Oryzias latipes: one gene and its partners. The protein of the gene in region 1 purifies or fractionates together with the protein of each later gene. This does not show direct contact. Links are inferred from orthologs where the notes say so. Each region holds a gene or a part of one and is shown in the gene's direction. Other genes may lie near its edges.

Evidence for each region.
Region 2: the proteins of upf1 (region 1) and regulator of nonsense transcripts 3A purify together in Homo sapiens (affinity purification with western blotting; 5 studies listed by BioGRID and IntAct, with this or other methods). This does not show direct contact. The link is inferred for Oryzias latipes from reciprocal best matches to the Homo sapiens genes UPF1 and UPF3A.
Region 3: the proteins of upf1 (region 1) and xrn1 purify together in Homo sapiens (affinity purification with western blotting; 4 studies listed by BioGRID and IntAct, with this or other methods). This does not show direct contact. The link is inferred for Oryzias latipes from reciprocal best matches to the Homo sapiens genes UPF1 and XRN1.

Annotation. Positions count from the first base shown.
Region 1 is NC_019862.2:13,859,581-13,862,132, forward strand, and holds part of upf1 (regulator of nonsense transcripts 1), read left to right. Parts: coding exon 1-169; intron 170-484; coding exon 485-566; intron 567-660; coding exon 661-825; intron 826-1,138; coding exon 1,139-1,359; intron 1,360-1,479; coding exon 1,480-1,599; 3' UTR 1,600-1,602; intron 1,603-1,795; exon of another isoform or gene 1,796-1,907; 3' UTR 1,908-2,552. UniProt on the Homo sapiens protein: RNA-dependent helicase required for nonsense-mediated decay (NMD) of aberrant mRNAs containing premature stop codons and modulates the expression level of normal mRNAs.
Region 2 is NC_019879.2:7,277,992-7,281,750, reverse strand, and holds the start of regulator of nonsense transcripts 3A, read left to right. Parts: upstream 1-991; 5' UTR 992-1,040; coding exon 1,041-1,178; intron 1,179-2,768; coding exon 2,769-2,875; intron 2,876-2,975; coding exon 2,976-3,082; intron 3,083-3,234; coding exon 3,235-3,333; intron 3,334-3,759. UniProt on the Homo sapiens protein: Involved in nonsense-mediated decay (NMD) of mRNAs containing premature stop codons by associating with the nuclear exon junction complex (EJC) and serving as link between the EJC core and NMD machinery.
Region 3 is NC_019875.2:19,744,755-19,748,513, reverse strand, and holds the start of xrn1 (5'-3' exoribonuclease 1), read left to right. Parts: upstream 1-1,043; 5' UTR 1,044-1,191; coding exon 1,192-1,266; intron 1,267-3,136; coding exon 3,137-3,369; intron 3,370-3,711; coding exon 3,712-3,759. UniProt on the Homo sapiens protein: Major 5'-3' exoribonuclease involved in mRNA decay. Required for the 5'-3'-processing of the G4 tetraplex-containing DNA and RNA substrates. The kinetic of hydrolysis is faster for G4 RNA tetraplex than for G4 DNA tetraplex and monomeric RNA tetraplex.

The DNA of each region.
Region 1 (2,552 bases):
GGTGATCATTGTGGGGAACCCCAAAGCCCTGTCTAAACAGCCTCTGTGGAACAACCTGCTGAACAACTACAAGGAGCAGAAGGTTCTGGTGGAGGGGCCCCTCAACAACCTCAGAGAGAGCCTCATGCAGTTCAGCAAACCCCGTAAACTTGTCAACACCATCAACCCCGTGAGTACAACCTCCTGCACCACTAATTCCAAGGCAGATCGGACTTTTTCTCAACATGAAAATGACAATCCAGAAAGTAATTTAAAATTCAAAATCAGATTTTGTTCATACTTTTTACTAGAAAAACAAAAAAGCATTACATTTCTTTTTTAAACTTGGCTTTATTTGAACTTTTACACACTTCTTAGGGGACTGAATTTGCCAAAGTCCAGCAAAATTATTTTTTAAGTAATTTTATTATATTTTGAATAAACATAATATATAGATGACTGTTAGTTTAGGCTTTAAAGAACTCCAAACTCTTTGTTTGTTCAGGGGGCTCGTTTTATGAGCACTGCCATGTATGACGCTCGAGAGGCTCTCATCCCTGGATCTGCATACGATCGAAGCAGCACTGGTATTTCTACATCTTTTCACATTTGTAAACATTCAAAAATGATCTCAGCAACTGTTGTCGTTTGTAAACCCCGTGTCTTCAAATGCTCTTTCAGCTGGACGTCCGTCCAACATGTACTTTCAAACACACGACCAGATTGGAATGATTGGGGCGGGCCCAGGTCACATGGCCGCTATGAATATCCCCATACCGTTCAACCTGGTGATGCCCCCAATGCCTCCCCCAAGTTACTTGGGTCAGGCGAACGGCCCTGCTGCAGGTAAACCAACCATTGCCGCTCTGCAGAAGCTATGACCTGCAAAAACAACACAGATTTCTTGATTTTGGCTCAAAAAAGGCCTCAAAAAGACACCTGGGAATGCTTTTAAATGTCTTAAAACATGATCAAAGTGGGACTTTAAATACTCAGATTTGTCGTTTTCTAAATGGAAAGGTGTCCAACCCATGAATAGGGTCACTTAGACCAAAGTTCTTCCCTGTTTTTAATACTTGACATTGGCCAAAATTCATTTATCCTGCTTCTTGTGTTTTGCAAAATGGTTAGAAATGATCCTTCTCCTGTTTTTATGAAGGCCGTGGGGCTATGAAAGGGAAGCCCGGGCGCAGCGGGCGGCAGAGGGTCCGCGGCATCGGGAACCAGGGTCCCGGGCAGGTTAACGGACCAAACAGCCAGGTCAGCCAGGATGGGGCCTCCCAGTCTTTCTCTCAGGGGCCGTTGACCCAGGGCTACATCTCCATAAGCCAGCCCTCTCAGATGAGCCAGCCCGGCCTCTCCCAGCCCGAGCTGTCTCAGGTAACCCATGCAGGGTGTATGCATAATACAGATTTTGCATTTTTTAAAGTAGAATCCTAATTTTTATTCAGTCAAATATGTACAGATCATTGAGGAAGTGTCTGGTCTTCTCCTCTACAGGACAGCTATCTGGGTGATGAGTTCAAGTCCCAAATCGACGTGGCCCTGTCCCAGGACTCGACCTACCAGGGCGAACGTGCGTACCAGCATGGCGGAGTGACCGGACTGTCACAGTACTAAAGTGTAAGTCACAAACTGTATCGGGGCACATTTAATTCTATGTCAAGACAAAACTACTTAGAGTTTACTCCGTTTTCAGCGCAAAGACAACACTTAAGGGTTTAATCCACCTGTAAATCTGCAGAACTTTGTTATGAATGCTTGGCTAAAACCTATAATGCAAAAGACCCCTGATAGTGTGTTTTACATCTGGCAGGTTGGCTGAAGAAGGGAGCTAGGCTGGAGCTGAGCTTAGTTCATCAGCTTTTAAATCTGGGAAAAAATAAAAACATAAAATGGATACCTGTTTTCCTCTGCTACATCCGAAGCACCACCAAGTGAAAGCGACGGGATAGCGAAACCAAACCAATGACCAGCGAGCGAAATAAGAGGGTAGAAGAAGAGAGCACTAACCGATGCGCATGGAGATGGAAGGAGAGGCCGCGTGAACAAGCGAAAGGCAGGAAGCGATGCCCGTGGGTAGTGATGGAAGGAGGTCGAGAAGATGGCGGCGTCTGGTCGGGCTGCTGAGGGAAACGTGAGAGATCAACAGTCTCTGAGAATCCAAAAGAGGTTCAGTCCCAAAGAAAATGATCCATGCAACAATGCCCCCCACACACAGTCCCTGTGAAGGCTTTAGTCCAGTTTACTCGTCGTCCGACGAGAATCGAGGCTTTTCAGCGGAATCTGAAGAATTCTTTCTCCAAACCTGGACAGAAATGTGTGCGGGAAGCTTTCAAGCATTCAGCACAGACAAAAATACAAGTCCCCCATGCTGGATGTGGGTTGTCTGATCAACCCGAACAACGTCCAAGACTCTTAAAATTAGGTTAATCGTGGGAAGTAATGTTCACCCGGGCCCTGACTCCTCGGCAGCCTACGAAGGAAGCAGCGGTCGACAAACCTTCTGAGAGAGGAAACAAAAACGCTGGTTTCTGTGCTCGAGTCTGATGTTGAAATACCTTTCACTTGCC
Region 2 (3,759 bases), on another chromosome or scaffold:
AATTGTGGTCATAAAATGCTCATTTGTGTGCACAAAATACCAAATTGTGGCCATAAAATGCAAATTTGTGTGCACAAAATACTAAATTGTGTCCGCAGAATCCATGTACCCTTTCGGGGTCACAGGGCTGCCTTAGCAATTTGTGGGAACCATTGAGCTTTTTGTGCGCTCAAATTAACTCCTGAGACTGAGGCTAACTTCTTGTCTGTTTAGAAGAGTCCTCTGTCTTCCATGTGAGGGGAGGAGAGACTTCTGCTTGAAGGGGCAACATCCCACCATCCTTTCCTGACTGTCTTTCCACCACTAGATCTAAGAGTGTTTGTTTCTGGAGGAGGGATGGGTTGTACTCCGTCCAAGTCCACAGGTATTTGCACTAATGAGCGGGTCTGCAGGGATCTGGACACCTGCTCCACGCTCCTCTCCAGCAGCCTGAGGAGCTCCGTTTCCACACCGGAGAGACCCCGAGTGCGCGCCGAGAACAGCAGCGGGAAGCAGGCGTTTTTAAATGGTGAGACTGATAAAAAATAATTAAAAAAAATTGTCAAATAAATGTTTTCGTCAAAACAAAAATATCTCTACCAGTTTGTAATCAATATTCCTGTCCCATATGAAACTTTAACAAATATGTGGTTTCTCCATTTTGGTTCTGTTTTCTCTAGTTCCCTCTCGAGATGTTCAGGGGTTGTCAGTGATTCGGTCCTCCAGCTTTGAGGGAAGCGCAGTTTCCAGTAATCCGATCACAAGCGATGGCGAACGGATCGCGTAGATCATCATCCCAGCTGCGCGGTAAGAAGAGGGAGCATATGGAGATGAACAGCGTTTATGTCAAAATATGTATTGAATTATTGTTTGCCTTTTTCTTCTACTCGTTACAAAATAAGTGTTAATGAAGGTCACACATAACATCATTATGTAACTAAAGTACTCAAATATATGTTTTCATTAAACATAACACCCGCATCCAACATCGATCTACGCGTACTCTCGCGATAACTTTCGTGAGTTATCGCGAGCACACAGCTCGTAGGAGATGTAGAGAAATGAGGTCTGAAAAGGACCAAATGGCCGTGGACACGGAGAAAAGTGTCGAAATACAATTTAAGGACATTCCAAGAGAGCAGGAGAGCCCAGGTTGCCATCTCAAACAAAAAGAAGAGAAGAAGGAGGTCTTTTCAAAGGTGAGTGAAGCAGCGTTTTGGTACGCGCCGTATTGTTTACTCTTGATGAAGACAACAGACATGGAGGAAGTGGCTGATCATTTCAGCACCGAGGACAGCGAAAAAGACTGTAAATGCACGATTTTCAATCATTTCCACTATGTTTAGCAAATATTTCATCTTTACCTCACAACAATGTCACATTATGTGGCTCCATATCTTTTAAAAATGAAAGACGGAACAAACAGTGGGAGTCAGCAGCCTTTAATACCAAAAGAGCCATTTGGGCTTTTTCTCACGGATTACCTAAAGTCTTTTTTACCCTTTCACATATTTTGACACTGCTCTGCATTCGTATCGTTGTTACTGTTGAAATATGTTGAAATTGTATTTATCCACTTATTTATTTGGCTTGACTAAAATTAAAAGCTGTCAGAGAAAAATTATTGGAAAAAAATGAAATTGTTTTTTTGTTTTTATTTTGATGAAGAATTGCATGTCTTTCTTTTAAATAAAATATATTCTAATAGGGTCATTCCTGTGTCGCTAGTACACTCCTATCAAATTTTAAAACAATGAGTCAATAAAGGCATTTTCTCTTGTTATAACCTAGGTCTTCCTTGGTGGGCACCTTTTCCCTATAACTCCTATTACTGCTGCTGACATATATATATATATATGTGTGTGTGTGTGTGTGTGTATGTGTGTGTGCGTGCGTGAACATGACTTTATTATTTTATGATGCAATAGACAAAATATAGAATCACAGGTACTGGACCTGTGATTTTATAAAACCTAACAAATTTAAATAAATCAAACAGACAAACCCTCACTTTAGGATGTAATTACTATCATTTTATTTGTCTTTAGCCAGCGAGCTACTATGAAAGGTAAAAGACCCACATGTGGGTCTGGAGCTTTAAGTTGCAGACCCCTATTTTAACTATTTCATAATGCTTTCTGAACCCATGTCAATAAATTTAACCTGCTTTGTTTAAAAACAACTGCACTCATTTTTAAGTGGCAGCAGTAATAAAACAGGCCGACGAGGACATGTTTCTATTATTCTTTTGGCACAGTAGACTGTTTTCAGGAATTGAATATTTAAAATGTGGAAACAAACAAGGGTGAGAAATCAGTAAAATAACTTAAAAGATCTTTCCATGTCACTCAAAACATCTTTTTTTTATTTTTTGGTTATTTAATTTTCTGCATATCCTGTTGCACTTCAGGATTTGTTGTCTGTTGACTGTTGCCCATTTTGATGCTGTTATATAGTAGGATAAACATATTTTGAAAACTAGCCAAATACATTTTTAAAAGTATCATACAGAAATACTTTTGTTGTAGCTTTAACTACATTTAAAATAATTGTGTATTCCATGTCATATCCTGCATCTTTCTTTTACAGGTTCCAGTATTTAGTTTTATTAGTCTGCTTAAATGAGTCGGTAATGATTTGAAAAAAATGTTTGAACTTGTCAAGCTTTTGGTCAGGACTGATAGTTTTTTTTTTTTTTTTAAATAAAGTTAATTCTGAAAGTTTGTGGAGAGACTTTACACTCATTGAGAACAGCAGTTAATAACCTTGGAGTAACTGGTTGTACACAGGTTGTGATCAGAAGACTGCCACCTAACCTTTCAAAAGAACAGCTTGAAGAACAACTAAGTCCGCTCCCATCGTATGATTACTTTGAGTTCTTCTCAGCAGATCAAAGGTGTGTTGTGATTTATTACTTGTTTGAAAAACTACTCATTTTTTCAATAAATATGTTTTATATTCTTAATTTTATTTTTTTCCTTCTTTTTTTATTGCAGTCTGTATCCCCACCTTTTTTCAAGAGCATATATCAATTTTAAAAACACTGAGGATATCGTGTTGTTCAGGGATCGATTTGACGGCTACGTCTTTATCGACAACAAAGGTATTGGTTCAAATTTCTTTGACTTTGTTTATAATAACTACAAATAACAAAACACAAACTGTAATATTCTCTGTAGGCACATTTATGGCCTTTAAGTTAAACTATTAACTTGATTATCTGCTAAATAACAAATTAAAAAAAAAAATTTTTAGGTCAAGAATATCCTGCAGTGGTGGAGTTTGCCCCCTTTCAGAAGATTTCCAAGAAAAAACTGAAAAAGAAGGATGCCAAAACTGGAAGCATTGAAGAAGGTACTAAAATGTTCTTGTGAATTTAGCTATTTCTAATATGTTCTTGCTAATTGCTGCATATAAATACGTCTGTGTGAGTTTTTTATATTTAAGACAAATATATTGTTGCTAAAGTAAGAAATCTAAAATGTGAATGTTTTTCTTTAAAAAAAATGTAAACTAAGAGCAATATATATTTGTTTTTGAGTGATGGAAGACCAAAAAGTACAAATTTTGCTCAAGTATGTCCGTCTTTCAGTCTCACCTTCCATTGTTGAAAATTCCTTTCTGATGCAGATATGCATCTAAAATACATTTCCTGATTTATGAGTTTAGTAAATCCATCATCCAAATGAAGCATTGTTGCCAGGTCTCTTTAGCTAGCATGTTTTTCCCCACAATGCGAGTTTTCACACTCCAAGAAAACACATAGTCTCCAGGAAAAAA
Region 3 (3,759 bases), on another chromosome or scaffold:
AAATGAGGAAATCTAAGATAAAAAGTTGAGGTTAGCACATACGTAATTGTACTAAGGTGAGGTAAACTTTGTCCTCAGAGAGGAAATTTGTTCCTGGCCACAGAGCTACTTACCTGAATGAGAATATTAACAGTACACAGAACAAATAATTAAAACGGGAATATACAGAATTTCCAACAGACCTGACTCACCGTTAAGAACACGAATAATAAAATGTTTAATTGAAACCTTTACCACAATGCTGAAAATAATTTCAGTAAAATGCATTATCAATTCATAAAAGGAAAAAAAATCTACTGTTGTTAAAACTAGGGACTAAGTATTACCCAAAATGATAAATACATATAATTATGCTCCTAAAAGCAAGCAAGAAGAAGGCCGATTTTATTTCTAGATGTCAAGTACTATATTTAAAAAGATATTGAAAGCCTATTAGAATGCCAGAGCTGTATTACCAAATACTGTATATTTTTTGTTTTTACCCTTAGTATAGTAATGTTTTTCTATATTTAATTTTTAGTCTCATTTTGAAAAACCAACATACAGATGGATAAACTGTACTTTATGCAGAGCTATACTAAAATAATATTTTCAGCTCTCGACTCAAGAAAAAAATACAAAATTGCATTTCTCTTTTGACTTTTCAGTACAATTTACCAGAAAAATTACATTCTTTAAATTATAATAGCCTGAAAATTAATGTAAAAAGGAAAAACGGTGTTTTTCCGCTTAGGTTCATCTGTTGAAGTTGTCGCAATGCCTACAACACAAACAAAAGTTCAACACAAATAAATGGAAAGCCAAACGAATTTATGTGCTAGTAACACTATACGCAGCCGTTCAAAAATAAACAAAAATATGGAACTTAACTATCTTACAAAGTACACTGTGTTGTGTATTATTTTTAGAAACCGCGTACAAAGATAAAACGTGTTTTTTCGTAAATCTTCAATCGAAAAGATTTTTGTCAACTGAAAAATACGCCAAAGGAAACTGGTGAGCGGAACTTATGTTTTACTGTTGTTTTCCAAATACATGCGGAGTAGTTTAGCGGATGGACAACTAGCTAGCAAACGGAAACAAAGCCGGACTCTAAAGCAAGTTCTGATGTTACCGAGTCAAACATTTGAGAGTACTTAGAGATAACCTTTCAGTGTTAACATTTTTACAGTCTAGAGCTTTGTGACGAAGATGGGAGTACCCAAATTTTACCGTTGGATCTCGGAGCGCTACCCCTGTCTCAGTGAAGTTGTCAAGGAACATCAGGTAGGACCGAGCAGTCAGGGTCGATTGTTTCACAATTCACACCTTTAGCATAGCTAGCCGTTTGCTACAGTTGGAGGCGAAACTTTGAGCCGCCTTTGCTCACTCTTAAGAGCATTATTTTTGAAAAAATAAATAAATAAATAATGCCACACGTGATAAAATAATTCTAAACGCACGACATACCAGACTGACATTCAGTACGACGTACGTCGTTTATATTCCTACACTAAGTTTAGCGCCCTAATGTTTTATTTGAGTTACTTTAGTGAGTCATACACTCTAAATATACAAATTTTATGAATGTATTGCTTTTTATTTGTAATTTCAATAAAATCTACATATTAATAATAATGAAGCCTAATAATTGTAAACAGGTAGAGCGTTATAATGTTAATAGCTGTTTAGTAGCCATAGTTAACAAATGGTGTGAAGACTTGCACTAGTTTGAACATTTTTTTCTTTTAACATTTAAAAAAATATCAATTTAACGTAAGTGATTCAGATTTTTGAGCGGAAGTTGCTATTTCAGTCTCCAAACAGTCATTTCATCAGACTTGTTCAGTCTGGCGCTCCTTGTGTTGGAAAGCTGTCAGTTGTTTTCTATTTTGTAACTGTTTGGTGAAGGAGAAGTCTTAACCAAAGCCCAACTGACAAAAGTGTGGGGTATTCTGTTTCTTTATTTTTTTAATTTATTTGTTTATTTATTTTTGCTTTTTCGTTTTAAAATTTTTAGAGCAATTTCTTGTAGCTGGCCGGAGGACTTCAGATAAACGATTTCAATAAATCCATAAAAGACGTCATTACTCCCAGTTCCTTAAAGCGTTTTGGGTCTTTTTTTCTTTCAGATTTGGGCTGCTCAATACTATAATAATGAAAATTATTATTCCACAAAATAAAAACTGTAAATATAATCATTTTTTTAAATGACAAATTGGTGTTACAAAAGTAAAAAAAAAACCTGCTCTACAATGGTTTGTGACTGTCTAGGCTTATTAAAATCAGTAAGCAAACACCAAAATTTCAGCTGTGCAAGCACTAAAATCCATGTCAGCTTATTTCCCTAAGTTTTTACTCTCCATTTTTATGTTGTTGTTTTTTTTAAACTATAATTTCAGTAATTGGGTGGCGATTCACAGCGATAATGTTTTGTTTTGAACGATCCGATTCACTGACATAAAATGGATCCAAGACATCTTTAGCCAAAACTTCAACCATTGTCACTCAGAGATAAATACCTGGGCACTGAACGGTGCTGGCAAATGTTTCCAGATTTCTTGTTTTCCTTACAATTTTGAATCAATTTGATAAGTTTTATAGGTCGATTGGATTACCAACTTGCCTCAGACAGATCCATCTGGTTGGATTGTTGGAGTATAATAATAATAAAAATAATAATAAGATTGGATTGGTTTTCTCTGCACTTTTCTAAAATTCAAGGCGCTTACAGTGGAGCGCTTTGAGCACAGTATGGCACCAGTGTAGCCACACTGGAGACTAGGAGGGTGAAGTGTATTGCCCAAGGACACAACAACAGTTGACTGGGGGGGAGCGGGGATTGAACTGCCAACCCTGCGATCATTGGCCGACCTGAATTGCCTTTGATGAATTGATTAAGTTGATTTATTGGTTACACCCCTAATAACTGGGTATTTATTAAATACTAACACCTAAGATTATTTTTGCATCTGTTATTAGTGTTGTCTCCCAGGAATTTGGGACAGGGGATTTCTGGAGACGGTTAAATGTTTTTAGTAGAAAAATAAAACAAATCAAAAAAACAAATTATTAGTATTTGAGAACATATACATGCATGACACTGTATTAATATTATTATTTTTATTATTATTATTTTTTTGCTTTCTTCTCTCAGATTCCAGAGTTCGACAATCTCTACCTGGATATGAATGGCATCATCCACCAGTGCTCCCACCCAAATGATGAGGACGTTCACTTCCGCATCTCTGAGGAAAAGATTTTCGCTGACATTTTCCATTACTTGGAGGTGCTCTTCAGAATCATCAAGCCTCGCAAGGTCTTCTTCATGGCAGTGGATGGTGTGGCACCCAGGGCCAAGATGAACCAGCAGAGAGGACGCAGATTCAGGTAGAGACACAGTCAGAAGCCCAGATATCCATCTTTCTTTTTTCTATCACCAATAATTTAGAAATCAGATTTAGAATTACTTATCTTTGTTTTTTATTGTCATTTCTTTCCCTATTATGTGTACTTTTTTTGTTGAAGCTATTTTTTTTTTAATTCAAACATGCCTTTATTATAGAAACCAAGTCATACCTTGAATCACTTTCTGTTATTTTAACCTCAATCTACCATCTCAAATAAAAAAATGTATTAAGTTATATTTTGTCTTTGCTTTGGCTACTCTGCCTGGAAGACTCCTTTTAAAAATATAAATCTCTTCATTGTTTTCATTGTGCTGGTATTCAGGTCTGCCAAAGAAGCAGAGGATAAGATAAAAAAAGCTTTGGATAAAGG